Linked DNA regions of Drosophila melanogaster. The protein of the gene in region 4 interacts with the protein of the main gene of each other region in a pairwise test. Each region holds a gene or a part of one and is shown on either strand. Other genes may lie near its edges. The genes, in order: CG3014, CG14089, gudu and Sema2a.

The links.
Region 1: the proteins of Sema2a (region 4) and CG3014 interact in a two-hybrid assay, tested with the Drosophila melanogaster proteins (one large-scale study listed by BioGRID).
Region 2: the proteins of Sema2a (region 4) and CG14089 interact in a two-hybrid assay, tested with the Drosophila melanogaster proteins (one large-scale study listed by BioGRID).
Region 3: the proteins of Sema2a (region 4) and gudu interact in a two-hybrid assay, tested with the Drosophila melanogaster proteins (one large-scale study listed by BioGRID).

The regions. Positions count from the first base shown.
Region 1 is NT_033777.3:7,797,712-7,806,426, forward strand, and holds CG3014 (uncharacterized protein), read right to left. Parts: upstream 5,083-8,715; 5' UTR 4,319-5,082; coding exon 4,207-4,318; intron 4,143-4,206; coding exon 3,817-4,142; intron 3,627-3,816; coding exon 2,978-3,626; intron 2,275-2,977; coding exon 1,895-2,274; 3' UTR 1,553-1,894; downstream 1-1,552. Other genes in the region: CG18744 (uncharacterized protein), read right to left, coding at 1-628, 925-1,036; CG18268 (uncharacterized protein), read right to left, coding at 5,319-5,509, 5,570-6,337, 6,448-6,565; CG2993 (uncharacterized protein), read right to left, coding at 7,794-7,927.
Region 2 is NT_037436.4:19,278,146-19,284,169, reverse strand, and holds CG14089 (uncharacterized protein), read left to right. Parts: upstream 1-3,369; coding exon 3,370-4,044; 3' UTR 4,045-4,050; downstream 4,051-6,024. Other genes in the region: Gbs-76A (glycogen binding subunit 76A), read left to right, coding at 1-947; CG14086 (uncharacterized protein), read right to left, coding at 4,346-4,472, 4,537-4,785, 5,056-5,130, 5,181-5,241.
Region 3 is NT_033779.5:7,385,768-7,393,297, forward strand, and holds gudu (gudu), read left to right. Parts: upstream 1-2,740; 5' UTR 2,741-2,908; coding exon 2,909-3,525; intron 3,526-3,607; coding exon 3,608-4,859; intron 4,860-4,920; coding exon 4,921-5,061; 3' UTR 5,062-5,135; downstream 5,136-7,530. Other genes in the region: CG5149 (uncharacterized protein), read right to left, coding at 1-37, 100-415, 657-881, 2,208-2,336; CG5160 (uncharacterized protein), read right to left, coding at 5,308-5,736, 5,879-6,031, 6,094-6,252, 6,309-6,445, 6,507-6,615. UniProt on the Drosophila melanogaster protein: Important for spermatogenesis where it may have a role in sperm individualization.
Region 4 is NT_033778.4:16,512,464-16,520,120, reverse strand, and holds the start of Sema2a (semaphorin 2a), read right to left. Parts: upstream 3,972-7,657; 5' UTR 3,851-3,971; intron 3,668-3,850; exon of another isoform or gene 3,588-3,667; intron 3,202-3,587; exon of another isoform or gene 3,103-3,201; 5' UTR 2,946-3,102; coding exon 2,780-2,945; intron 1-2,779. UniProt on the Drosophila melanogaster protein: Ligand for transmembrane receptor PlexB. Plays a role in growth cone guidance. Required for both proper adult behavior and survival. Can function as a selective target-derived signal that inhibits the formation of specific synaptic terminal arbors.

The DNA.
Region 1 (8,715 bases), on a different chromosome or scaffold from region 4:
ACAGTTTGTCGCTCCACCTTGGTCTCCAAGCGTTTGGGCTTATTCTTTAGATGGGCAACGTAAGTGCTGATCTGAACGAGGGAATACACCGCCTCGCGAAGTGTCAATTTCTCCGGGTTATGCAGCTTTAAGTGAACAGAAATACCTGCTCCTGGCGAATAACCCTGCCTGGGAATCTGGAGCTGCAGATGAAGTGGCTTCATCCAGAATCTAAGGCGAGGAGTCTGCTCATAGATCTGGATCTCACAGCTCCGCGTCTCCTGGCTCAGAGAGTTCTGCGGGAAAATCTGCAGCTGGCGTACATGGAGCACCTCCAGCGGACGATCTGCACTGCTGTGGATGAGCACTTGGAGTGTGTACCGTATGTGTCCGTGGCCCCCCTCGAAATTCCCCGGACAGTTCTTGGGCAGCTTCACATGGAAACCGTAATTGTAGGTGCCCGCCTCCATTATCTGTGGCTGTGCGGCCTCCGAGCCCACAAAATAATCGATTTTGGCAAAATAATCCACGCGATAATCAAAGTCCAAACTCTGAACCACCACTGGCTGCTCGTTCTTTTTTTGATTCTTGTGCTTTTGGGGCTGCTGCCAGGCAGTGCTCGCATATCCATTGGCCTCCAGGCATATTGCTGAAATAAAGAGCATAAGCCAAAAGAATTAACGATTTATGAAGATTATTATAATTTATAAGTATACCACATTAATTTGCACAAATATTTTTCAAGTTCCGATTATGAAAAGTTACTAATCAAATTTGCCTGGTAGTTGATAAGCTCACTGAAAGGTATTAGCAATTTGATTTCAGTGCGACAAACACTATCAGCAATTTGGAAGTCCATAAAAGAAACCAGATCTCGATCGGTGAATCAGCGCCACTGGATGGCCATGTTATACGGGATAGCCCATGAGTCATGCTCCAACCTACCTTTGATTAGGGCCCGCTCCGAAAGGGTCAGATAGACGTGACCATTGACCGTATCGCCGGCCCTATAGACCCCCCGTGGGTTGTCCAATTGGATCTCACAGCGGTGGCTCATTTTCAGCTCTCTGGACTCTGTTGACGGCTCGACTGCTAACCGATGTCTGGCAGTTGTTGACAACATGCCCGCCCATTAAGAACAGGACTGGACGCGGCCTTATCGGATATACTAGGTGTGAATGGTACCACTACCATGGCTATTATCACCAGAGCTATATCTTATCTTATGCCGGGTGAGGAGTGCTATCGCGTACCAAACAATTTGTAATTTAATTAAAATACGTTACATCCGATGGCAGGTGTAGCCTACATATGTGCGAAAACTTCGTTTATATGACGGATTCAAGGACTCGCAAGACCAGTGATGAGTACAATTTCTCTGTAAATAGCCAAGAAAAAGTTATCGACCTTTCATTTTAATACATTCATCAATTTTGCTACGTAATAATTTTGGTTCACATTCAAACGTTTTAAGCCACTAACTCAATAAGCAAATATTTCGCTAAACTTTCAAGAATTCGTTTAAATATCTTTCCATCCCCACGCAACACAAAATACAATTCACAAACTGATTGTTTGTATACTGCAATTATTTATTGTCCACTTGAGAACGCATTAATTGGTACTTACAATAATTAGTATATGTATCGAGTCGATTACATATTTAAATCGAAAATGTTTGACGGATGTATAAAAGCGGTTATAGGTATACTAGAAAAAGGAGATTATGGCACTCAATAAGTTCGATTCGATCAATTTTGGATGGTACGCGAGTGTACAAATTTGCGCAATGAAAGCTCACTAAAACTAGACGACGTACTAGGACCCGGCCTAAAAATCCTTTATAAGCCTTAGTCTTGAACACTTATGTTACTTGTTACTGGGGTTGGCAATACGTATATAAGACACTTTTCCATTAGAACAGGTGCTCGTCCTGTAGGACGTTCTCGACCTCCGAAACCGTTGCCCGTTGAATCGGCCGATGCACCTGGGCAGTCACATCCAGGTTCTCTTCTGCCTCCTGCTCCTGCTCCTCGACATGTTCGGACAGTGGACCACAGAGGGATCCGAAAGTGTCCAGACTCCGACCTGTGTGATCCGTGTTAAGCGATCCGTACGACCTGTACATGTGCATGTCCAGGCCAGAGTCCTCCATTCCGTGAGCAGGAGCTGTCCCAATGAGTGTGGAAAATCCAGGAAACTTGGGCAAGTGGATCCGCTGCAGGACCACTGCGGCGTTACTCCCTAATGTTTGCTGACTTCCTGCCAGGGTAGCAAAACTGAAGGAGGGCGGAACTGCGAATGGAAGTGTTGATAAGCTATTTAAGTTTTATAACAATGTTAGGGACTTGAAGGATTTTCCTTGCCATTGTTGCATTAAATGAACTACCTTATATTTTACCTTACTATACTGTACTATTACTATTACCTTACTATAATAGTGAAATTAACCAAGCGATTAACCAATTAAATTTTGTAAATTTGTATTCAAAATTCAGCTAACATTACATGCATGAAAAACAAATATGTATACTCCTTAGATGATTTTATGGAGTTTTAAAAAAATAAATATGCAACATGTGATTTGATTTGGCAGTTTTTTCCGTCTAACATTTTTTAAAACTTCAGGAACTGTAAGTGATATAATTTTACTATACAATTTGTGTCGATATCACAACAAAATGTTGAACTGTAACGGGAATGTGATAGTCGAGAAAAACGAATAGAACTGCATCTCTCAAAAAGAAATAATTTAATCGATGGGTATTACTATTTCTATACAATGAGAAAATTAAAATCAATGAATTTAAAGTCTATCCTAAGCAACTGTTACAGAAACTTACAATTGAAGTTTAAAGCAACATATAACCAAATCCTAGGTGAAATGAAATGTGTCGTGCTATAAATAATATTTTATAACATGTTAGATTTTTTTTTAAACTACTCTAATGAATACGATCATTTGCTTAAATTGCAAGTTAGAACAAACAAAACTTACGGCAACTGTCGTAAGATGGTGGCTCGTCGTCTTCGATCACCCTGTGCGGCTCATCGGTAGCCGGATCTGCCTCTCCGGCGGAATCCTCCTCCACTGTTGGCGGTCGGGGAGTTACCCGCTCGATCAGGCGCTGTCTCTCTGGCGTGGGCGTCCTCCGCACAGGCTGCTGGGTGTGAACCGAGTCCCTGAGGTGTTGCAAAGAGGTGGTGCCCACGATGATGGGCACTGAGAGGTCCGTGTCGTAGTGGAAGTAACCCGTCTTCAGCTTTACCTGCAGCGTGTAGTGCAGAAAGACGATGTAGTTGGGGTTCAGGGTGGATCGGGGAGTGTCCATGGGCACACAGATGCTGGACTCGTACTGCCGCTTGGACAGGCGCAGGGTGCGGTCCGAGATCAGCTCCTTGACCAGTGTCTTGGAGTAGAAGTTCCGCTTCACGGGCTTTCGCGACAGGAAGACGAAGTGCTGCTTGATGGACACCTCCACGCCGATGATGTCGTAGTGTGGCGACTGGTTGTCCACCTCCAGCCTGTAGGGTACCTCCTGAAGGGGCGTGAATCCGGAGGCGGGCAAGGTCAAGGTGGAGCAGATGGGTCCCGAAATGCAGGGCCAATGGCAGAGATACTTCAGATTCTCGTCCTTGACAGGTAGCTAGTTTGGGGTAAGTATTATTAAATGATTGGACTGTGATTTAAGCATATCTTAAATTCTTTATATAGTTTTCCTTTAAAGCATGACATTGTATGCCAAAATTGATTGCAAATTAATAATTTATTCATTAAAGCACGACTTAAAAAGCAAAACTCATTGCCTACAATTACACCACAGTAGAATTACTTACTGAAAACTCTGCATTGTAGTTGAGATCCAGGGTCTGCACCACGATGATGGGCTTCCGGAACACCTCGTCGAAGCCCCAGGGCTTGTCGATGGTCAGCGAGATAGTGTAGGCTATATAGCCGTACGGACCCTTGCAGGTACTGGGACAGTCCGGCGGAATCCTGAGGGTGAGGACGTATACGTGGACTCCGGCCCGGAAGAGGGTGTTATCGAACACATTGGTGCGTGAGTGTAAATATTGCTGATGGCCCGAGTAGTTGGCCGTCTCGCTCTTGCCGCTCATCGACCACTGAACCTTGGCCTCGCCCTCCAGAGTCACATATACGGCTGGGGATTTGGGAAATTGTAGTCTTCCCAGGGGGATAGGAACTTAGGAGTACTTTGAACCCACCATTGACTCGCTTCACCTTGTCCGTACGCAGCAAAATGCGACCACTGATGTACTCCCCACTGTTGTAAACCGGATTCAGGCGATCCAGCTGAAAGACACAGGTGGTGGGCATGGCTGCTGCACTTGCTTCCGGCTCGAGTTAACCGAATCTTCACTGCCAGTTCATCACTACTATATCCGTGGCTGGGCTTCTGGAGACGGAGCACCGAACAACCGCAACCCAACTTCCACACAGCCAGACGCGCACTGAGTTCTGAACGGCGAGTTCTTTGTCAGCATCCGACGCCATCGGGCTTTCGCTTTCCGGGGAGCGGAGTTTCGGGGGCGGGCGAATCAATAAGCTGGCGCCTTGCGTCTGTGTAGCCGTCTACTGTCTGCTTCTGGTCTAATATTGCAGCGCGAATCGTTCGGAAATGGAGCAGCTTTTGGCCGTGGGTCCTTTCGGTTTCCTTTGTTTCGCTGCGGCCAACACACACGCACATACACACACACACACACTCACTCACTCGCTCACTCGCTCGCTTATGTGGCGGCTGAAATGGTGGACGAACGCCAAGGGGGCGGATGCTGGCGAGGTCAGGAGCCAATATCCACCATATACTGGGGTACATTTTTGTTATTACCATATATCAACCGCCGATACAACGGCCGAAAGAATGTCAACAAAACCGAACAGTGCGTCACAACAAGCAATTTGTTTTCGGGGTGTTGGCTGTGTAACCCCTTGGCCACTTTGCTGCCGCATAACGTGGCACAATTAGGACCTCGAAATTATTTGGGCACTCACTCCATTAATCTGGCATGCATAATTGCGATAATGAGAGCGAGCCATTTGCCTGGGGAAAAGGGACTGCATAAAATGGCAAATTCACATAGAAATATATTTGCATATTTAAAAATATATTTTTAGCTAGTACTATACGTAACCCAAGTTTATTGGGAAGAATAAAAATAAGAATTTCGTTTTGTGTACGTTGATAGTCGGTAATAGTCGATAATCGAATCCAGTTATTTGCTTGGCTTACTTTCCTTTATCGCATTTCAAGTTCAATTATTGTGAATTCTACAATTCTCAATATCTTGGCACTGAAATTCCAGACTCTGCACGTGTGTCAGGTTAGTACTTTCTTATAAAAGTATTGCAAAGCTAAATGCACGTACGACTTTTTTCTCTTCGGGCCTTTTAGCAACTTGATGCGTTCACGTTCACAATGTTTGCTCAGCGCCAAGGCGTCGATTTCCCGAGAACAGCTGTTGGCCAGAAACTGATTAATTGGCCCCAGCAGCTCACTCTGGCTAAGAGCTAAAGAAGACAATAGTTAATTACTGGTTGCCCCTTTTAATGGGCAGCGTATGGACTTACCCATATTAACGAAGCAAAGTTGCGACGATTCCGTTTGGGAATTCACGGGGGGTGCAACAGTGGCCACGAAAATGGGTACTTTGATTGGGGCATTCAAGGAGTTGAATGTCTCAATGTAATAACTGATTTGTATAGGGTCCAGCTGATCTGAGTGACTCATAATAGGGGCTGTCAGAGGCAGGCGAAGATTGCCATTAAGTTCCGAACTCTCGGACAACACTTGTGTCACATTCTTGGTTTTGGCACTTGGTTGCTGACTAGTGTAGCTGATTTTTTTACACAAGCGCGTAAGGAAGTCCTGGACTCCATCTTTGGAACAGATTTCATAGCTTACACTTTGACCCGGAACAAAAACACTTCGCGGCAATGTAAGTCCCATGTTCGCAGTCTCCATATATTGGGGCTTGAGATCGGCGAGTTCCACACACTTTCGTATCACCAATCGCTGCTGAAAGCATTTGTTATGTGTTCCCCGTCTTTCGAGAACAACCTTGAGCACATACTCCACATTGCCGAAAGGAAGTCTACAGGTGGCTGGCAGATTTTCAGGCAGCTGAAAATTGAAGTCACCCAATCGAAAGGTACCATTCTCTAGCTGAAGTACTTCGTTTAACTTTTTCGTTTCATTTATGTGCACCTTGCTGCCGTTGTAATCCACTTTGGGGCACTCCAGGTTTCCGGTGCTATCATTGTGTTCGATTTCCGGCGGACCTCGAAGTGACTCCCGCCAGTGGACCGTCGAGACTCCGTGGAGAGTGACACTTACGCCTGCCGAATGGGGAACAACAACACGATCAGCATATCAGATTGCCCATCTATTTGCAGCACTCTCCCCTATCTAATCACTAAACCAACTCATTTGCCTAATGGCATCTTACCCTCTAATTTGAAACTTTTTTTCCCGTCGACTGTCACAGTGAGTGATCCCGAAATTTGCTCGCCGTTGTAATAAATGGCAGCGGCACGCGATAAGTTAAATTCGCAATTTATTGGCATTTTCAGTGGTTTGGAGTGGCTTTTTTATATATGTGTGCTTTTCTGAAAATTCGCATTCACGCGACTGAGACTCTAGTTGTGACCTCGCCAACGAACGGCAAACAAGTGACTGTGACAACTTGAGGTTTCATCCGAAGCCGTTGGAAGTCTGAAAAACTGTTTCCACACGAGTCGTCTGAATGAGAAATGGCTGCTGTTTTACTGCTAATTTGGCCCGAAGTCTGTTTTGGCCGCAGCGATAACAATATATAAATTTAGCTTTATGGTCCAGCTAAGCCGACTCAGATTTTTTGCTGATTATACCGTGTACAGGATGTAAATGTGTCTACAGCTTTTGTGGTATACGTAATATATTTTGCTTGTTTTGCTTTATTGAATCGGATTAAATCGAATTGAAGACAGTTAAGACTTAGAAATAGACTTATATGATTTTTGGTTAGACTGGCGCTTAAATAAGAGGAAGTACAAAGTATATAGTGAGACAACACAATCTAATTTGTATAGAAACTAGAGCAAGAGACACTTGTATATATATAATTAGTTCGACAATATCTCATTTAGACACCTAAAGATTATGATGATGTGATGATTTTAAATAATAAAAAACTAAACACAATTTGGCTAATCTTTGCTTGTAAATTTCTCATAGATACACAGAAAAAGTCAATACAATATTCAATATTGGAAAATGTTAGTTTCGCGCTTAATTTCCCCTCTCCGTTTGGTAAAATTGTGCAGATTTTGTTAAAATTACGAGCTAAATGATTTCATCTAACTTCTCACTACATTGTTCACATACATTTAGCCAGCGACCACTGTATCAAGTATCAATCTGCTTACAATTAGCAATACTTAAAAAATAATTGTATAAGGTTAGTTAAAAAGGGGAAAACGAGAATGAGAAGAGAGAAAATTTAAATGTAAATATAGGGACTATAGAAGAAAGGGAGGATAAAATAGTTAAATAAATCAAATTCATTTTGGCCTAAATAGCTTTCTTCTCCAAAATATATCCCATTCTGCTTTGGCTCTATAAAAAATGGCTCGATTTGCCACCTTCAATTTAAATTGCGCCCAGACTTAAGTTCTACTACATGTTAGCACACTGGGTTTCATTTTCCATTCTATAGTATTTTGATTTCGATTAAATATGTAAGTGTTATCGCTTATTGGCTTATTGGTTTACATTTGATGCAGCTCTTTCCGTATCGCTTAGTCCAAAGACATCTCATTTCTTTTCGCAAGAAGGGGGCTCTCCTCCTCTTGTGTTCGGGGCCAAATCCTCATCCGTTTCCGGTGCCGCCGAGTCCTGGCAGCTGAGTGTAAGACGCAGCCGGGAACTGGACTCATCGTAGAGCGTCTCTACGGTTTTCGGGTTTCGAAGGAAAGGGGATCGTGAATGGACGGTACAAAATGTAGCATGTTTCGGGGCGGTAACAAGAGAATAAATTTACAAGTTAAGCACATTTTGAAATTATTTCTGCTCGGATTAACAGAGAAATGCATATTAGGAAAGTAGAAAAAGTTAAGATAAGCTTTAAAAATCTATAAAACGTTCTTAATTGGTATTCGATAAATGTTTTTGACTTAAACATTAAAAGACGCCATAATAAAGAAGAAGAAAACGGCTCGATATAATTTAATATTAATAATGATTTTGGTTCAGGCGCATACATGTTCATCGTTTTAGATACAATAAAAAACAAATATATGTTTTTATGGAAGGTAATGTATAAAATATATATATTAAGAATCAAAAACAATTTTTATTAATTTAAGTTGGTAAAAATATCTTGTATACTTATATATATAAAAGGGTAATGGAATAAAACGTGCAATTATTTTAGATACACAATTTTATATAATAGGAATAAAGTGTAATGTATTAAAATGATATTGACAACTAAGTAATGAGATTCATTTTAAATGAGATAGGCTTAACAGACACTCGGATCAAGGACAACAATAAACTTTACGACTCCAACGTTTTTTTCTTTGGATTTCAAAATCCTTTCTATCAGACAAGTACAAATTGTAGTGTTTAAATTGCATTTTTTGGTTTTAGGCGGACAAAGTTGAATGAATTGTATCTCTGCGCACTTGATCTCATTACTTGAACATATTAAAGTACATTTATGAAAATGCTCTAA
Region 2 (6,024 bases), on a different chromosome or scaffold from region 4:
CAGAGGAAAGCAGGAATGATGAACTCTCGCCAGACAGTGGTGTGGATGAAACAGACAAGTCGGCCAGTAATCTCACCGTAGATGTGGACCTGGCCCAAATCGAACAGGCCAAACAGGATGCCACTGAGGCTGTGGAAAAGAGTGGTGCCCCCAGTCGGGGTACCACAGTCGATACCACAGATGATGAAGACGATTGTAGACCACAGCGCATCAGGCGTTGTTCCTCCCTGAAAACGGGAAAGACACCACCCGGAACTCCGGGTCGCAAGAAGATCGTTAGGTTTGCCGACGTCCTTGGCTTGGATCTGGCCGATGTAAAGACCTTCCTGGACGAGATACCCACCATACCGAAATCGGCGTTCGAGGACCTGGAAATACTGGAGTCGGAGCCGCCACTTCAGCTGGGGCCCAAGTCCGACAAGCTATTGATGCCTCTGTTCCAGCAGCCAGGAGGCCTGCCCAAGTTCCTCGATGCGGTCCGGGAGAAGCAGGTGTCCCTGGAGAACGCTGCCGTGACGGACAACATCAACCAGACGATATCCGGATCTGTGCGTGTGCGCAATCTGGACTTTCACAAGTCGGTGCACATAAGGTACTCGCTGGACGGATGGAGAAGCTACGCCGACCTGCAGGCAAACTACGTGGAGAACTCTTGCGATGGCTTCTCCGACATCTTCACCTTCGTGCTGTTCGGTAACTCGCTGCACGTGGGCCAGAGGCTGGAGTTCGCCGTAAGGTTCCAGTGCAAAGGCCAACAGTTCTGGGACAACAACTACGGGGCCAACTACTGCTTCCAGTGTTTGCCCAGCTCGACACATACCGCCGGCGGCTCCACGGCATCGCCTCCGTCTGTGGCGACTGGCGCCGTATCCACCGGCCATAGTGCCAGTCTGGTCGGATTGCTAAGCCCCACGGCGGGCGATGCCTGGTGCAGCTCCTTCTACTAACCGGTGGCGATGGGCCCGCACTAAAGGCACTAGCATCCCGTCTAGAATCCAACACCCTCTCCCATGCCCAATCCAACGACACGACACCAAGATCTGGGAAAGTTTCCGGGCCTTGACGTGGTGTCTATGTCCCAGTAAGAAATCAAATCCAAGCAGTCCCATATGACCGCCCAGTCAGAGATCACAGATCAGAATACCAACCTTCGTGGGGCTAACTCTTCATTGGGGTGATTGGATTTTTTGTTAGAAAATCCACAAGGAACTAAGTATTTTTTTGGCAATTCTTAACGTAACGTATCAACACAACTGGAACTAATTTGGAATGAAATTTTCAGTCAAAGGCAGATTAAGTTTTGATATTTTGGAACTTAAGAGCTGTTATTAACAACAAGAACTATTGTACGAAATGTCAAGAAATTACATAACTCCCACAAGAATATTTCAGTCCCTGCACGTCGATAAATCGAACCACCCTAGCCTTCCAAGGACGGCAAACATTGTTTATATATTTTTATAGAATGAATGGAAAAGATTGAAGGGTTAGTGAAGGGCAAGAGGAGCTGTAAGAGCGCCACAAAAAAACTAAAGAATCAAACCAGAGTAGTGCGAACTAGAACAAAAGCCAGCAAGGTTCGAATGAATCCCAAAGATAGTTGTTAGTCGTATGTTATAAGAAGAGCAAGTGATAACAAACTAAAACTCAGATCAGTTTCTTCAATGTCTTCTTCTGTTTTTAGTTACTTTTCCCAATTTTTATTTGGTTTGTTCCTAGGTTTGTTTGTCATGCGAAAGCGATTGCCAGTTGGATCGGGCTATTAAGATTGTGTATCTGCCAGATAATGTATCATGATGATTTAAATGAATCAGTTTTGTGAAAAGATTAATTGCCATTAATCACAGTTCTGAATATGAGCTTAGCACCATTTTAATACTTTTTGTTCGGTAAAAGCAGATCCGTTCGAGCACAGAGACCATGTCAAAAGTTAACTATAACTAACCACCATCCACTATCTAGTCAACTCGAGTTTACTTTTGCTACCTTTTGACTATTCGCAGTCAAAAAGGATATTCTCCAATCCGATGATATTTGTAGCCCGATCGGAAAAACCCCTTTTAGCCATCAGACACAGCAGACAAGCCTTAACTTTTGTTTCTCTTAATTGTTGATATTCTTCTAATGTTTGATTTTTTATATGCTTTAATTTTAATTTAAACGATTTGAATATTTTCTATGTATATGTTGATGCGTAATATATCTATCGTAATATTATATAAATATATATACAAAATAAAATAAACATAAACTTTAGTTATTCCTTTTCGGTTGATTCTTTCAATTATCTATGTATTGTCTGAATAATAATGAATACAATTTGAGCTCTTCTTATCCACAACAGAACCTTAAATAGCCTATATCAGGGATATAAACAAGCGAATAGCTACTTATAACAATTAATTGCAAACGCAGCTACCTCAACGTTTTCCGACCGAAAACACGAATAAGAGAGAATAATAGTTAAACAAAGTAAATTTATAATTAAAGAAACTATTTAATATGTTTATTGCATAGCAAACATGTGTAAAACAAAAGCAAAACAACAAATAAAACGAACTTTAAAAGTTACAACTATTTACATACATATGTTAACAAAAACAGAAACTTCTCGAACATAACTAATGTCCACAAATCCAAATGACTTAGACTGAAGCGTGAGTATGCAAAAAGTGTTATGAGATCTGCCCAAAAACCAGAAATTTGTTGAGGTTTATGTGGGCGGGGCTCTTGTCATCATGAGTTCCACTTTACACTTACAAAAGAATAATAAAGAAGCCACAGTTAAATAAAATTGCGAACAGACATTCTTAGCATGTCTCGAAAGTGTTTTCTTTTGTGCTTCACAGGGACGGACAGGTGGTATCTCAGGTGTTAGCAAATTACACATTAGTTATTCAAAATGGTTAATGTTTCCGTTTAAATGTAAAAATCATCATCTCGGTCACCACCAGTCATTGCTCTGGTTCCATATGAAATTTGTGTAAAAGTTTATGTTATTTTTACGCGCAGAAATGATATACATATACCTGTTAATTGATCTATCCTAGAATACGAGAATTCACTTTTCATGGCTCGATCACAAAGTCCGACATCCATTTGGTGTGAAAGTTCTTTCATCAGCCCAAAAACTCAACTCATTCATTGAATATTATGCAAATCAGATACTTTATAAATAAATGGCTTGGTTTATTAAACAAGAGAAATTAGCATACGATACAAATATAATGCGATCGTAAGACAAGACATATAGATCTCAAATGAGCTATCTTAACGGGAGTTTGAATGATTCTCCTCTGTTGCCATTTTTCAAACGCATTTATCCACATAAAAGAAGTGACTGCGATCTGATTTTCGTTAGTTCACAGCATGTCGTCGAATCTGGAAGTTCTCTCTGCGAACTGGACTATTCTGCTGGTGGCACTACTGTCTGTTCTTGGGGGAGTTTTCGCCAAGGATGATGCCTCAGTGCCCCGGCTGATCACCCTCCAAACTGGAAGTCCCGCTCCAGCCCCGCCACAGGAAGTGATCATAGAGGAGGATCACGATCATCAACATTATCATCCGCCACACTATCCGCCAAGCTATTCGTATCCGTATCCTCAGCCACAGCCATGCGGTTGTCCGCCCGGTCCTCCAGGTCCACCTGGTCCACCGGGACAGCCGGGGCAGAAGGGCTATCCCGGCCCCAAAGGATCCAAGGGTGATCCCGGCGAGAAGGGGCCGCGTGGAGATAAGGGCCACCCCGGGATGCCTGGAATCCCTGGCCAACCTGGTCCTCAGGGTCCTCCTGGATATCCCGGAGGTTCATATCCACCGTATCCGTATCCTCCACCTCCTCCTCCTCCATCACATGGACATGGAGGCCCTAAAGGCCACCAGAGGCACTACTATAACTACTATGATGAGGACGAGTATGATTACGGCAATGAGCGTTCTTTTGGTCTGAGAAAAACCGAAGAATTCGACGACCAGCCCTTCATTTTGGCCTTTAGTGAACGCAGAAATCCGTTTAGCACAAAAAACAATAAAAGACGAAATTAAAATAACATTATTTAAAACGAAATAGCTTTGATAATTATTTCTGTAGGTAAAAAGCAGATACCCAATACTTAAAAGGAACTTTCAAAATTCTTTTGAAGAATGTCCTTTTTGACTTTTGAGTGGCTTCGTTTATAAATGACACCAAAAATCATACAAAGTGTGGGTTTATCGATTACCTATAAAAATATACCACGCACTCAGCGTTTAAATCGAAACCTCTTTACAAACTGTATATTATTAGACATTTGTTAAGTCGTTTAAAATCTCACATTACATTAGGCAGAAAAGCTGGCTTAAACTATTAGCAAACATCGTCGTCTAGGGCGGTGTGGTCGTCGCCCTCCTCCTCCGCTTCCTCATCCAATCCCGCTTGCGTGGCACCAATCTCCGCGAAATCATCCTCCATGGTATCCACAAAGCTCGACACCCTATCATCGCAGAACAAACAGACATTAGAAACAAATAACAAAGACATTCGTTGGCTGGCATCACTTTTCAAAGTCGCACTGCGGCAGGAGACCCTCCTCCTTCGAGGCGCTGAATCGGAGCAGCGTGCACAGTCTGAGGAGTCCGAGGAGTATCAGGAACATCCCGGCCACATAACTCAGCCACAGATTGTGGGGATACAGGATCAGGCAGATGCCGATGACCGCATAAACAGGAGTGGGTCGCCAACCGCCACAAATCGCTGAAAGTCGCCAGCAGGCCAAGCAGCTGCAGGACCTTCGCTGGTAATTATCCCTGAAACAAATTGAATTCACAAATATGTGAACAGAGAAAAATTTGCAGAGAAAAATCTGAGCAAAGGCACTTGATATAGAGTATTGTATATAATAGTAAAGTATATCATATTATAGTATAATTAGGGTTTAATTAGTTTTACAACTACTAGGCTTGGTAACTAGAATTTCTATATTTCATAAATAATAACTGCTAATTATCAAATAATATATATACGAATAACTATAATTTATGAACATGTTATTTGGTAATCTTGAATAGTTTTCTTACTCTGCGCACTGAAGTTGCAGGAAGATAGTCACAAGCCACTTGATCTCGATAAACATTACCAGCACGGCTGAAAAACTAACCAGAAATTAGTATAGTTATGGGGGATATTTAGATCCGTGACTTACACTATATAAAGACCGGCCCGATAGCCATGCATGTAGACATCAACGCCAACGCCGCAGATAACTGAAATGAAAAATGGCTAAAGAAAGGTTCGGTGCGGGGGGTCCTTTTTGGCGGGTTGAAACGAGGAGTGTTATCCTTGAACGAGCCTATAAAATAATGTGAGTGTGTCTAGGCAAATATATTTATAAGCATATTTATTGAGCTGGGCCTTTTTTGTTTACCATGCTTTGGCCATAAAATGTAATACAAAACCAATGAATGGAAACGAGGTGAGCTCAAGAAGTTTATCGCAATTTTACTGAAGCTTACATCATTTGCAATAGAGTATTTTAAGAAGGCAATGTCCTACACATTACGAAATAACATAATGATAATTAATAATAAATAGCTTGGAAGAAACTTCAATATTCATGACGAACTTAAATTTTATAACTTAAAAGGTTTCTATATTTTTGTCGAACAGCCCTCCGCAGGGCATTCATATTCTAACCACATTATGGTTCCGCTTCACATTTTGTCTTAGCCAAATCCACTTTGAGTGTATAAGATATGGTTAGATGTGGTTATGGAGCCACCACGCCCAGTGGTCCATAAAAATACAATCTAATTAAGTTGTTTTTATTATGCCGGGTCGCGAAAAACCAATCAGATTAGCCAGTTAGATATATGTATATGTATGCCCCATATTTAAGCACAACTGCAGAACCGAAACCAAACCAATTACATTAAATGCTGTCAACGGAGATAAAAATTGAAAAAGCGGAAATCGAAAAAACATGCAAAAATTATCTGGATAATTGAAAGCGGTGGGGGAAAAATAGATGCCGGGCAAGAGGAAAACTT
Region 3 (7,530 bases), on a different chromosome or scaffold from region 4:
TCGATGATAGGGCGATAATGACTATTTTGCGGAGCATCTGGAAAATAGGAAAAAAGTTATAAACGATTTTAATAAATTTAAAAATTTTCTTTGTCCTACCACACAGTGCTGGCAGAATTGGAATTTCCATTTCCTTGATTATGTTGCGTTTGCTGCCACCATGGCGACAATACAGCTGGCTAAAGACCTCGCGCCAAATCTGCAAAAACTGCGGAGTGACGTGTAACCAACGTTCCAGGGCATCGTTGGGCATAGTGTGCTCTAGCTCCTTGCCCAGATTTCTCATAAGGCCCTTGGCAAATGTGGCGGCGGACCTTTCCGTGGTGTTAAAGCCAAGATCGTGCCACTCCTTGATGCCAGAGTTTTTCGCTGTACTTTCCAAGTGCACGTAGCTCTTGATCACCGAGTAGATATACTGGGGAATTATAAAATTGATTAATTCGCGAGCAAAAGATAAAAGAATTAAATAAACAAGTTGTTCATATGACAGCTAAGAAAATAAACGTGGAAATCTAGTTTTCAGGATAAACATAAATGGAGAGCTAAACCTAATTCAATAACAAACATGTTATGAATCCTAATGAGGCTCGGCTGACAGAAGTTATAAATATTATTTCCGCGATCTGATGACAATGACTACTTATTTATAGACTCACTTGCTCCAATTGCTTGCTGTTGAAGGTGTCATTTCCACTTCTCTCCATTGAGCCCAGGAGCATTTGCATTTTCTGGTCAATAGTACCGCGTTCCATGATGTAGTAGGGCTCTCCAAATTTCTTCAGCTGAAGGTTGACACATTGCTGACCTGGCTTCGTGGGCGTAAATAGATACTGAGCCGTACTTTCGGCCAGGGATCTTTCGATGGTTTGCGACCAAGTTTCCTATTTTCGAAACAAAACAACAGATACATGTATATGTGTGTACATAAACAAAATGCGCGCCGGATACGTAAACATAATTTTCCCGCTGCTGTCAGCAAATTCTTGCAGGGAACGAAGGTCTGGGAAGCGCTGACACAGATTAACCCATTGAAGGACGTACAATGAATAATAATTTGGTTTGACTGAAAACAAAGTCTCTCAAGTTTTATGAAAATAAATACTACTTCAATGTATGTAAAGTTTCAATTTAGAGAGTTTCCGCTTAAATTACTCTATATGAATGCAAGTCTTATAATTTCCTCATTCTAAAAATCAACTATTTCACATGCCATGCTGTAAACGGGTTAAGCATATGGTTTATTTTTAATTCAATTGGGTTTGGCCCTAATTGACGACCCCAGTCATTGAAATCACGACTAATTCGTTAGCAAGCAAATTCAACAAAGCAAAAGACAAACAGTGAAATGCGGCAGCAAACAAATTAGACAAATTATGGACACGTTCGCACTGGCCCAGGAATTATCAATTCGAAACTGATAACGCCCGAGTTGAAGATATCGAATTTTGCTATACCCTAGGAAGCGCTGTGATAATCAAACACGAGCTATAAATAGATGGAAATATTATAAGGAAAAATCATCATCTGGTTACAAACAAACATTTTTTGAGTGGTTGCATTTCCGTCATCTGTGCTGTGATAAAAATAAAACACAAATCTGGGGCCTTGAACCCGCATCGGAAAAATTATAGCATAAATTGTGTATGATCAGATTGATTTAACTAAATGGGTTAAAATAACAATTTTGGAAAGTTACGTGTACATTTAATCTAAATAGGACTGACTAGTTTAGAAAATTACATTTTTAAACAAGTTGAATAATTTACTTTTTATAAACTCTGTTAAATTTCCTGGTTTGCACTTTAAATCGAAAAAGAACTGTATTAAAATAAGGTTTAGAAACTTTGAACTTTTGTATAATGCCGGATAATGTTGCGACTCACTCTCTTATATAACTAAGCTTCTTTTTCGGAACATAGTACTATGATTAACTTCAATGTTTAATCCTCGAAATAGGAGTTAGTGACAACAACAAATTAATGCCCTAAAGGATATACCCATTCAAGTGAAGGGTGGCCATCGCAGCAGGTGGATGGACGGCCGTTTGTCATGCACTCGAAAGTCCCGATTTCTCTTTTTTTGCCGAAGAAAGTTCACTCCGCGCGTCCTTGAACTTGTGACCCTGACCCTTCCGCAAATGCAGAATGCAGTTGCCATTGATTTTCGCAGTGCACACGTGGCACGGTAACTGGATTTACTTGACTTACCACCAATCTGTCTTGGGTCAACTTCTCAAGTGCTCCGCCAGAGGCGTTTTTGTACGCGGATTCCAGCATGCGTAGCTCTTCCGAATTGTAGAGATTATCCGTCTCCCGCTTGCCACTCGCATTTCCCATCTCAGGACACGAAATTCAGTTGGCTGGTGCTACGACGGCTGGTAAACAAACAATGCAGCTGCAGCTGCGGATGATCGCGGATTTTAATTGAAAATAAAAAACAAACAACACAAGCTGGTGATGGAATGGCAGTCGATTTCCCTGCGATACCCTCGATAGTTTCGGAAACGGGTAAATTTCGCGGTGGTCGTCTGCACTATGAATGGTTATTGTCTGTGCTAAGTCAGGTCGATGTATTTGCTAAACGGTTAATTTTAACCGCTAAGCGAATTCAACGAAGGCCAAGCGAATAAAATAAATTTTAAATGCCTTGGATAGCTGTAGTTAAAAATTTATTAAAATAAAAAAAAACTTACAAGTTTGAGCTAAGATACCTTTGCCCTAGCCCGGTATTTTTGAAATTATCTCAGTTACCTTAGCAACACGCCTTATTAAATCAATTGCCTGGCCTAATAAAGTTCTCCCACACAAAAACACAATAAATTCCGATACAAAACTGAAGAAAGCTGGCATACCGACAGATATTTCCGGAATACGATTGGCCAAATCTGTGAGTAATCCAACGCGAAAGGATGATTGGCACTAGCAGCGGAACGTCCCACAATCGGAGTCGAAAGAAGAAAGAACAGTGCGGATCCTGTCCCAACAGATTCTCAAAGGATAAGCGCCAGGTGGCCGCCGAGGACTCGGATACCACGGAGGTGGAATCGTCTACGGATGAGGAGGAACGCTGGAAGGAAGTGGCGCGAGCCGCTGAGATTCCGGCTGACTATTATAATATCCAAAAACTGGTGAAATACATCAAGGCGGGCAATCAGACAGCCACTATAGTATCGTTGTGCTGCTTGAAGGACTACGATCTGAGCACCCAGATCAATCAGTTCGCCATCTCGGACATCGGCGGACTCGATGTCTTGGTTAACATCCTGGAGTGCAGCGACACCAAGTGCTGTTTGGGCGCCCTCAAAGTTCTCTCAGATATCACACTGAACATCGATATTAGGAAGACCATCGTAGATCTGGATGGCATTCCCCTCATTGTGGACATCCTAAACTCTTCCATGAAGGACCTAAAAACCATGGCCGCCGAGACATTGGCCAATGTGTGCAAGGTGCGACTGGCCAGAAAGTATGTGCGCACCTGCGGAGGAATCCCCAAGCTGGTGGATCTCATCGACATCAAGTTGAGGTGAGTTGGCATTGGATAAAGTGCTTCATACTACATCACCACATATAAGAAATAATTAAAAAAAAACCTAATTATATTATAGCATTCTAAAGACGCCTCGTGACCAATTGAGTCCAGATGATCTGGAATCTCTCGATATGACACGCGCTGGAGCCCGGGCTCTTTTCACTCTGGCCGATTCCAAGCACAACATGGAGCAGATGCGCAAGAGCGGAATTGTTCCTTTGATGGCTCAGCTCCTTAAGTCCTGTCACATCGATGTCGTCATTCCCATAATGGGCACCGTTCGAAAGTGCTCCTCGGAGCCGAAGTTCCAACTGGCCATCACCACCGAGGGCATGATTCCCGACATTGTGAGCCATCTGAGTTCCGAAAATACCGAGCTGAAGATGGAGGGCAGTACAGCGATCTACAAGTGCGCCTTCGACGGAACCACCAGGGATTTGGTGAGGGAGGCTGGGGGCTTGGAACCTTTGGTAACTATCATAAAGGACAAGAATGTGAGGGAAAATAAGCCTTTATTGAGAGGCGCCACTGGAGCGATTTGGATGTGTGCCGTAACCGATGCAAATGTCAAAGTGCTGGATCAACTCAGGACGGTGAACCACCTGGTGGCCTTGCTAAATGATGAGTGTGACGAGGTCCTGACCAACGTGACCGGAGCTATATCTGAATGTGTGAGATTTCAAAGCAATAGGGAGCAACTGCGTCAGGCTGGAGGATTACCAGCAATGGTTTCCCTACTCAACAGTTCTCACGCCCCTCTTCTGGAAAATTTAGCCAAGGGATTGAAGGAGTGTGCCGAAGATCCGGACAGCATGAGAATCCTTGAGGATCTGGATGCGGTCAGGCTGATATGGTCGCTATTGAAGAACCCCACAACTAGGGTTCAGGCCCATGCGGCTTACGCCATATGTCCCTGTGTTCGAAATGCCAACGATTCCGCTGAATTGGTCAGGAGCTTGGTTGGCGCCATGGAACTGGTGGTGGGTCTGCTAAAGTCCAAGGATATCATGGTCTTATCCGCCGTTTGTGCTGCCATTGCAACAATTGCCCAGGATCAAACCAATCTAGCCATCTTAACCGATCTGAAAGTCATCTACAAGCTAGCCGATCTCGTCCAGACCACCGACGACCTCCTTCGAATGAACTTGGCAGCTGCCGTGGCCGCCTGTGCCTGCTTCGGTAATAATACGGAGGAACTGGGACGTCTGCGTACTGTCACTCCGATTGTCACCTACATGACCAGCGACAATCCCTTGGTGCACCGCAGCACGGCCATGGCACTGGAGAAGCTATCGATGGATCCGCAGAACTGCATTACCATGCACCAGGTACATTTCTTCTACCTAATCACACTTAGCAACTCATTTAGATTCTTTTATTTTACTTCAGAGTGGAGTTGTTCCTTTCCTGCTGGAGTGCATTGGATCCACTAACAAGGAGCTCCAGTTGGCCGCCGCTGGTTGTCTGCGCAATATCCGCGAATTGGCCTTGCGTGCCGAGGAATATCTGCTTAAAATCGACGATGACTAGCTTCCTGTTTTTTTTTCTTTGTTAAGTTATTTAATTGTATTTGACGAAATATATGTGTGTATGCCGATGCTACCAATTTCTTGCATTTTTAGCAAATAAATTAATAAGTTAGTAAATTTTTAAACCAGAAATCCCAGAAAAATATGTTTCATTTTCCATGACAATAACATCTAGCTATATAATTATATATTTGTCGCTACATATTTTGACTAACTAAGCTCGACCCACCCTGCATAAAATTCCACTCTAGTAACTGGCATTACTGCCCCTGGTGGAAATGCTCATCCGTCGCTCCACGCGATTCGTGTGTGGCAGCAGGCATCCCGGCGGTGGATACCGCCATCTACGTGGTCGGGACAACAGGGTGCCGTCCGTCGAAGCTCTACTACGGAAGGGAGCATCGATGTCGCTGCGTGAGCTGCTCAAACTGCTACTCGTAATCTCATCCGTAGACTCCGTATGGTCACCGTTGCTCTCCTCCAAACAGGCGCTTCCGATGACCAGAAAGGAATGTCGACCGACGCCCAAAGACGAGGCATCGTAGAAGGAACAGGATCCCGAATCGGGCGTGAGGATTCCATCCGTATTGGCCACATCGCTGGTGGAGCGCTTGAGCTTGGGGAATTTGCTGAAGACTCGCCAGAAGCGAAACACATCGCGAAAAACATTCTGCACCTGGTTGGAATGAGTGAATAAACAAATCGTATATTTATAAGGTGCCATGTGATGGTAAATGGAAGATTAATTTATCAGACAAAAGTTTAATTTCACTTCACCTTAATAAAGAAATCTTTTGTAAGAAAATTTTTCCTCTTACTTGATCCACGCTCTCTCTGACGGAAATCTCGTGAAAACAGGAGCAGGATAACTCCCTGAATCGGCGCTGACCCTCTTCCAAGCTGACCATTCGATCGCCCGGCTGATCTGTCTTATTGCCCACCAGTATGACAGGAATATCCAGTGCGTATTCCTGGAAATATGGTATATAAATAAGCTTCCTATAGGTGGTTCAAAATTAAGTAATTTACTAACTTTACTGGCCGAGCCCAACTTGCGTCTTCGTTTATTGTAATTGATGAGGAACTTTAGGCGACTGCACTCGTCGAAGGAACACTTGTCCGTAATGGAGTACATTAGTATAAATGCGTCGGCCCAGCGGATGTTGGACTCCAGACTAACTCCATCTAGTTCCTACATGAAATGGTCTTTAATGTCTTGCAAAATGAAAAATGCAATTTAAAACCCACTTGTAGCTGACCGGTGGCGTCCAGAATGTCAAACTGAATCTGCTCCTTGTCCAGCGTGGTTTGGCAGGTGTAAATCTTCTCCAGATTAGGATCATACTCGCCAATGAAGCGTCGGGTAATAAAACGCACCACCATGGCTAAATGGGAAAGTCCCTTCAGTTTGGGTTCCCTTTTCTGGGAGTTGGGCGCACAACTCACCCGTTTTTCCCACACCACTTTGGCCCAGGACCATAACCTTCAGAGTCTTTTGTTTATTGGTATGCAGACCCAACTTGACCAGCGATGACTTTGGCGAGGTGGCATTCATGGCAGATAACAGGGGCAATTGTCTGAAAAATATAATAGGAAACTTTAGTAAGTGAGAAGTGGTGAACTTTTTAATAAGACTTACACATACCCATCTTTTAAATCTATTATACTAATGATAATGTTTACAATTTTGCAGAACCTTGTTTCTGTTTATTGAGTTTATTAATATATGCTTTAAAAATTAGAGTTAAGCGAAGTTTTAGCCAAAACTACTATCCATTTTATAGCTCCATTCCAGGGTATAGGCATCTCCTGACCCTTTGGAGTGGGTCTGGGTGTTAAGGTCTCGTATTTCCGAGACAATATGTCTGTTAGGAATGAGTGACACGACCTTTGTTGCCCCCAGATTCCTTATGCTGTTGTGGCTAGCTCTAGTTTTCTTTTACCCGCATCAAAATATCTAGACACTTGGGAATGGGTCTAAGCCACGGCGTTTTCTAATTTTGGCCAGCGATTTCCAGGCAAATTGCATACCTTTGTCGCATAAAGATACAGAAAGACAGCCCGTTTTCCAACCACACTTAAACATTAAAAAACTAAACAAGTTAACAAAATAGCAGAATAATTTCAGATCCAAAGAGAATATTACTGAATAGGGAGTTATGAACTTTGTTTCTACGAAAAGAATCTAAAGGTTTTGTAAAGTGCTGCATTTTCAAAACCCAGCAGGAACACTAAACAAAAGATGCTCGACTTGTGTGTGTTTTTTTTTTGTTTTTTTGTTATGGCCACCCATTGACTTGCACATACATACATGTGTGGGTGGGCATATGGGTGTTGGTGTGTTTGTGCTTTTGATAAGGTCAACAATGTCAGACTACCGACAACTATGAAACATTTATTGGACACTTTTTGCGTTGTCCTCCAGCAGAAGCAGTCGCAGACACAGACGAAATGGGCAAAGGCAGGAGAC
Region 4 (7,657 bases):
ACTAGAATCCCGGCTCAAAGCCAGGTAAATCCCCACCCAACAACCCAACAACCCAACAGCCAGCCATCCGCCCGGCTCAACAGGAAAGGGGTGGTCTCCATTCGACCCGCTATGTGAACAGCTTTTGACATTGCCGTCATGATGAAGTGGAACGCACAGCTGAAGCCCCACCCCAGCTACTGGCTCTAAAAATACAAAAAAAAAAATAAACCCAGAAGAAGGAAATATAAAAGCCGGGGGCAAGAACTCGGCTATCCCTTTATCGCTTTTGTCGTTTTAATGGGTCAGCAGTGTGTGCCTATACAGTTTGACAAAGACCACGAGCGAGTGCGAAGCTCTTAAAGCTGTTGCATTTGGCCAGAAATCAGACAACGCGGAAGCCATTAATCCCAAGCTTCATCCACCATTTGTGGCAATAAAAACTATATACCAAGAGAGTTGAAAATAAATAAGAAATGACTGCTATAATTCTAAACTGTCTCACTTGGCCATGTTGCGTTGCTCAGTTTTATTTGCTGCACTTTTTGCTAGATGAAGTTTAGAGCAAATGAGTTCATTACTCCTCTGGCTTTGCAAATTTGATATGTATGTGTTTTAAGCTTATAGAAAACCATTTAACGTATTGGTATGCTTAAGAGTTTCCAGTATCTACAAGCTTGTAAGCACTATATTAGTTAGTTAGTTGGATGTAAATGCATTAAATACCATTAAGTGCTATGGATTGTGTGAATCTATTAGTTAGTTTCTATTTTTCCTTCCTTTTTTTATGACTACAGAAACAATTCAACCTTTGGCTACCTGCCGGTCAAAAAATGAGTCAATAATCAGGGGTTTGGCCTTAATAATGAAGTCGCAGCACCTTGTGCGTGTATCTTTGTATCTTTTGTGAGAGAAAACAAAGGGGAAGAGCTATCCGGCAGATAAAAATAGAATTTTAGGGTACAGAGTGGTGGAAACATCTGTCAAACCGCTGAGTCAACCAATTGAAGTGGCCGAGGTGGCGACAGAGGACGTTGCGGCCGCATTGGTACTCACAAATGCCATAGAGAGGCATAAATTTTGTACTACCCTAAAATAAAGTGCAATTAATTTCATTTAAATCAATGAAAATAGTGCTTTTTCATTTACAGACGGGTAAAAGAAGAAGAAGATAAAAAAAAACATGCAATAAATATTCCGCATCAACGGGGGAATTTATAGTTGACATTTTAGAGTTTTGTTGTTATTCAGTTCGGTGGCTTTTGTGGTTTAGTTGGTTTTACCTTAATTTATGGCCCGCCGATCGGTTTATATAGTGCATCTGGTGCAAATGTCCAACCTTCGAACTTTGTAGCTCCTTCTGCATGCATTTCGGACTTATCCCATATAGATTTTGCTATATAACTCCCGGAAAAGTATGCGCAAGCAGCTTGAACGATTCCCTAATCGTCTCACGTTTTCCTTTAGGGCAAGTGCTTAGCTATTGAGTTTACAGCGCAACATGCGGCAAGGACCAAAAAGTTGTTGTCGGCACGTGAAGTTTTATGCTGCACTTATGGCTTATAGTTAAAGATATAGTGGAGACAAGGGGGACGGCATGCCAGGCATTCCGGAACGTGGACTATTAGAAAATGTTTACTGGTCTTGACCCGGATTGCTGTTGTTGTTGTTGTTGTTTGGCCAGCCTGGCTAAATGAGATTTAAATTTTTTATACAACATTTTCTGCGTTCTTGATACTTGATGGCTTTTTGCTGTTCTCTAGCCACATTCAATGTATGCTGGGGAACTTTTCAATCAACCGCACGATGATAAATGAATGCTGGCCAAAATTATTGGCAAAATCCAACATGGCTTAGACATAGAGAAGTGAATAACCTGTTTGTGGCCGCTCGTAGATGAATTTTAAATACTTTTAGGCTTTAATGACTCAATAAAGCTGGCCAAGTCTACGAAACAGAGGGCTTGTAAAAAAATACAGCGGAAAATCTAGGTAGATTGAACATTTAAATGGTAAAGCATTCACATTTTTCTAGAGTGGTAGGGGAGGGGGGGATTAAGGGAACCCAGTCAATTATATATCATTCAGGATTTATCTCTGTGGATTATAGGACTGCATATGGTTAAAATATGATTACATTATTGGTATTTGTTTAAACATGAAATATGCATATGAATAGCAACAATTCACAATTGCGCGGACCAGCAATATTCACTATGAATGCACCGCATTAATATGCAAATTATAAAAAACAACAACAATCACAATGCTCCGAGCCAGAAATGGAAAATGGCCCAAACCGAAACGAAAAAATATAGTTGCAATTGAAATCGAACCAAACGAGATAAATAATAAAGGCACAAAGAACATGTGCGAATATTATGGCAAATAAATTACAAATTTGTTGTTGCCTGAAAGATTGAAAAATAATATTGGCCGCAGTTAAAAAAGGGGAAAAAGCTGTCTTATTCGTGTAAGCCGACGATTTAAGTACCCTGTACAAAATATAAGTAATGCGAAACAATTTTAATTCATTTTTTTCATACATACTTAAGTTATGATCAAGTTGTAAAATAGCGTTTTAAATAATGTTTTCATTCTTAAGTTTTAAGTGTAACGAACATTAACATACATTTCACATAGTTTTTACGAAGAAATGTGAACTAGTAAAAGATTTTGTTAACATTTTTTTTAATTTTTAAAGCCCCTCGAAAAAAGGGCACAAAAAGTGAAAATTTATTTTACAAGTGTGTTTTAATCCGTGTTCCCGCCCCTTTTTATACCGTTAGTTGGCTAGTTACCTGCGCCGTGTTTCCCGTAATTGTTGTTCCCCTGATCGTTTCCAGTGCAACAGGGACGCTCGTAGTAGAAGTTCCAGGTGTTCTCGTAGTCCGCAGCTGTCTCGCTCACACTACTGCAGAGGAGTAGCAGGAGTGCGAGGAGCGGCGATAGCTGTAGAAGCGACATTGCGAGGGCGGTGCGAGCGAGAGGGGTGGTCGACCGGGGGCCGAATGCGACCCCACCAACCTCAATTGGATTAAAGTGCAAGAGCGAGCGAGAGGCGGTTGCTTGTTGATTTTACCGTTTGATGAATAAAAACCGGCACGTTTTTTCCCACGAATAACTGTTAACACATTTAACTTGTATTATTTTTACACACTTTTGCGGCAATTGCAATGGAATTGATTTCACTGGCAAATGGATTTTAAAATAAACTTCTTTCCTTGGGCGATTTATAGCACCCCTCTGCTATTTTTTTCTCCTTATATATATATGTTTTTTTTTTGGACCCGCAGTCGTAGTGCCAATTTCGTTTCGGATTAATTATGTATGCGTTGCAGGCGCATAAAGGCGTAATGCATTTTACACAGTTCTGTGTTCAATTCGGTTTTCAATTCGATTTCAACGCATTTAGCCATCGGAAAGCATGTGCGATATGAAGATAAAGGCAAAAGGAAACGTTAAACTGGTTTATTATATGCCCACGCATCGGAAAAACAAAAAAAAAAGCAACAATATTGGGAAACAATGAAAATTCCTCAACGCTGGAGAGTGGGAAAGAGACAAGGAAGGTGAACGAGCGCGTTTCTTAAAGTTTATACTATTTACAAGGCACTGCATCAATAAATAAATGATGAATCTGCAAATATTTCCTTGCTTTCAGTTTAAAATTTGCCTTTAACCCACACGCACACAAACTTGCTCACGCACTCACACACACACACATACGCAACAACAAAGCCAGAGATACACACTTGAGTTGTTGTTGGGAGTTTCGGTTTATTGGAATTTCGAAAATCGAACTCCGAATTGAATGAACTGCAAAACGCCAATTAGATAGTTGCAAGCCTAATGCATTTCAGATATTTTACCGATGCGAAACAAGTTCCGCCACGAAAGGGAACACTGGTAAAATGCCCAAGAATCTCGAGCGGAAACACCAAACACAAAAGAACAACCGACAACAAGTAGAAGTGAGAAAACAACAACAACGCACGATCGCTCCGATCGCGCAGATGTGAGAAAAACGCTAGCGCGTTTAAGTCGAATGACTATCGCAGTCACGCGTTTGGGTTTTTGGTATATACCAACAATGGTGATCGTGTTTGAAAATAATATTTAAAATATATATAATTTGCATAACTTTTTCTCTTTATATCAGAAGTTTTAGATTTTATTTTGGCTAACTTTGAAATATGCTTTCTTATTTTTGTCTGTTTACAATGCGCTTGCTTTTTAAGTTAGTTAATATATAATATAATATTTTCTTTGACGTATTCAAGCCGATTTTAACTATTTCTTAAATTATTCTTAAGAAAAGGTAAAAACTGTTGACACAAAACTTTGTTTAATATTCGTGGAGCGTCGTGGATTTTCATTTGTCGATATAATCCTTGCTCCTTGCCACAAAATGCCGTTGCAGAATGGCGGTATTCAATTTTCGTACTTCACCGTGCGGAAGCGGCAAAGTGATTTTTAGCAAGGACAACAAGGACAACGACAATTTTGGCAATAGGCAAACATTTGCCAACCCAGACACACACAAAACGGGCGGCAGGATGGATGGATGGATGGCAGGTATGCAGACGAATCCTTGCATTTAGCAGCCTCGAGCGGCAATTAAACGCAGTTTGCTAGTGTCTCTGGCATTTGAGTGTCTGCTTGGCAAAATATTTAATTAAAAAGCAAGTCGGTTATGTTTTCGCATCTCCTTGATATTTTCTATTGTACGGGTGCCACCTGTGCGTGCTTTCGTTTCCATCAGTGGCGTAGGGGCTGTAGTTTATTCAATTATTCAGCTGAGATGTTAATGATGATTGTTTGAGGCACTGATCAGCTCAGGTGGTACGTGACCATCAAAGAAAAAAAAGGTAAGAAACTTATAATATAGTGCAAACGTTTCCAACTAAAATTTAATAATTTTGATCGCAATCATTGGCTAACCCCCACAAGAAATCCTTGCGCACGCCACTGGTTGATTGTGTCTGCCTGGCCTTTTCTCTCTGTTTGCCTGCTAATGAGTTTTCGCAGAATCACCACACTAGTCGTCCCCCTCGCACCCGACCGTGCGACCAAAGGAGCACTTGCATCATGATACTGTTGAAAATTTTTGACACATGTTCACTCACTCTATCCCTCTATTTCATTGCCTCTCCCTCTCTCACACTCACTCTCGTTCTAGCCCGCATTGTTGTTGCCGCTTTGTAGTTGCTTTGATGTTGGTTGCCATTTTTGGGTTTTTTTCCCTTTTTCGGGGGATAGCCTTTCAAGTGCAGCAGCGACAACGTCGCCATTGTCATTTGTTTTCGCAAACGTTTCTTTCACACAATGTCAACTTTCAACAAAGGACTTTAATTAAGTCCTTAATGACAGCTTAATTTAGCGCACTTTGCACAGCGCGTATGCCCCAACACGTACACAAACAAAGGCACAACGCACTCACACGTAGCACATACTCGCACACGTATGTATGTGTGGGAAAAAGATGGGATGTGTTTTGTTTAGTTCTTTCGCTTTCTTCATCTCGGAATCCTTTAGTTGCGGTCAATTAAATAATAATTTCAAATCTAAAAAGTACACGTCATTCCATAAGAAGTCATGCAACAATTTAAGGGACGAAAAGAGAAATTCAAGTAAAATGAAATAGTTGCCAATCAACCACCCTTCATATAAACATAAAAACTAGCATTCGTTTTGCTTATTATTTTGTGATGCAATTTATTACTTAATAAATTGGGAGAGAGCCTAAATAGCATTTTGATTGTGCCAAATAATACATGGAACTTGTCTCGCCAAACATTGTTGGTCGCTCAACTTGTCAGCGGCCGGCAACTTTCATGCATTATATAAAAAGTTGGCCAAATAACCAGCAGCGAACCACACCAACACACTGACAGACACACACACGCACACACATACACAGCTTGAGAAAGCGATAAAAACCATTTGTTGTGAATGTCCTGTTTTGTTATTTGTTGTTCTGCTGCTTGTCCTTTGTTGTGTTGTTGTCGTCCCAAGTTGGCTTACTCAAGATACTTACAAAGATTTCAATGCACTTTCTTCCTACCAACTTGTTCGCGCAGAAAGCCAAAAAGCCAAAAGAAAAATAAAAACTGGACTGACCAACAAGAGCAGCAACAACAACTGCAGTGAAATAAGCCTATAGAAGATTTGGCTCAACTGAAATTATAAAACATTTAAAACGCAAGGATATAGCTTTATTTTCGGCTAAAAATTATATTTTTCCGTGCTTGGGACTTCTGTACTTGGTTTTATAAATCTAATGAATATGCTCATATGTCCTAAAAAATAGAACCAATTCACAGATATATTTACAGCTAAGAACTTTATTTTGTTTTTAGCATTGAGATACTCCTTTTATTAACTTTCCAAGTTGTTGCATCTATCAAGGTGCTCTTGTCAAAAAAGCAAACAGATTCCTGTTACCGTGTGTTGACTGTACAAAGGCAGCGGCATCGGCGACGAACAAGAACAAGAACGATTTGACTTCTGGAAACTGTCAGAGCAAGCAAATGGCACTAAATATTAAGTTTGCCGTTGGAACTTGACCAGAAAAAGTAAACTACGAGGAAAACTTGGCCGGCCAGAACTAATGAAAGCTTTCTGCAAGTGTGAGGCGTGATGGTGTGCGTGTGTGTGTGTATGTGTGTGGGCTAAAAGTTTTTGCCTTTTGGCTCGACCACAGAATTTCTCATGAGTTGGCGCTGCGGCTGCGGCTGCACTTGTTTCAAGTTCAATTAATTTTAAGTGCGGCAGCAATTGTGTTGCACATTGTTGTGCCTCCACTCGTTTGTTTACAACGACTCTGCACTCGGTGTGTTTTTTGTGCCTTTGGGCCAAGCTCTGCAGTTTTTTTTTGCCTTTTTACGCCATTCGGATTCAACTTTGGCCTGACATGCAATGTCAGCGCCTGTGTTTATGCTATAAATAATGCAGCATATTTTGCATAATGACAAGTTATCGCACACAAAACATAATTGCATGTATTTGTATTGCAGACATTATGACGTCACCTTAACGATGGCGGACAAGCTTTTCCTTTTACCCCTCTTGAGCTCAAATGTATCTACAAGTCGCAGACTTTGTATCTTTGAGATGCTTGAGACCTACGGTAAGTCAGAACTTGGAAGTAGCGATAAGGCGTATCAAACATTTATAATTCATAATATATATATTGAAGTAATATATATTGAAATAATACATATATGTTGAAACAATGTTTTCAAAAAATTCTGCTGCAGCATAGATGGTTCTTAAACAAGCACTATAATGCGACCACGATTAGATTGACTGAACTTAAGCGTAGATCCCACAGATCAGATCACCTACCTTCGAAGTGGGTGACGCAGAAGTCAGCCGGAATTTTCCGGGATTAGTGTCACATCAAACAGACAGATTGCGGCAAAATGCAGCAACAAAAGTTGCAGAACAAGTGCAGAAAGAGCCAGATAAACAAATCTTGTCTAGCCGTAGAGGGCGTGAGTATGGGGCATATGGGCGGTACCAGTGGCGGTAGCAGTACCAGGATGGAGGACAACGACGAGGATAAGAGCCAGAGACAGAGACAGAGACAGAGACAGACTTCAGACTAGTCAGGAAGTTGGCTTGGCAGCTTCAGAGTTCTAACTCGTCGGCAAACAAAACTTGCCGGCAGTTTT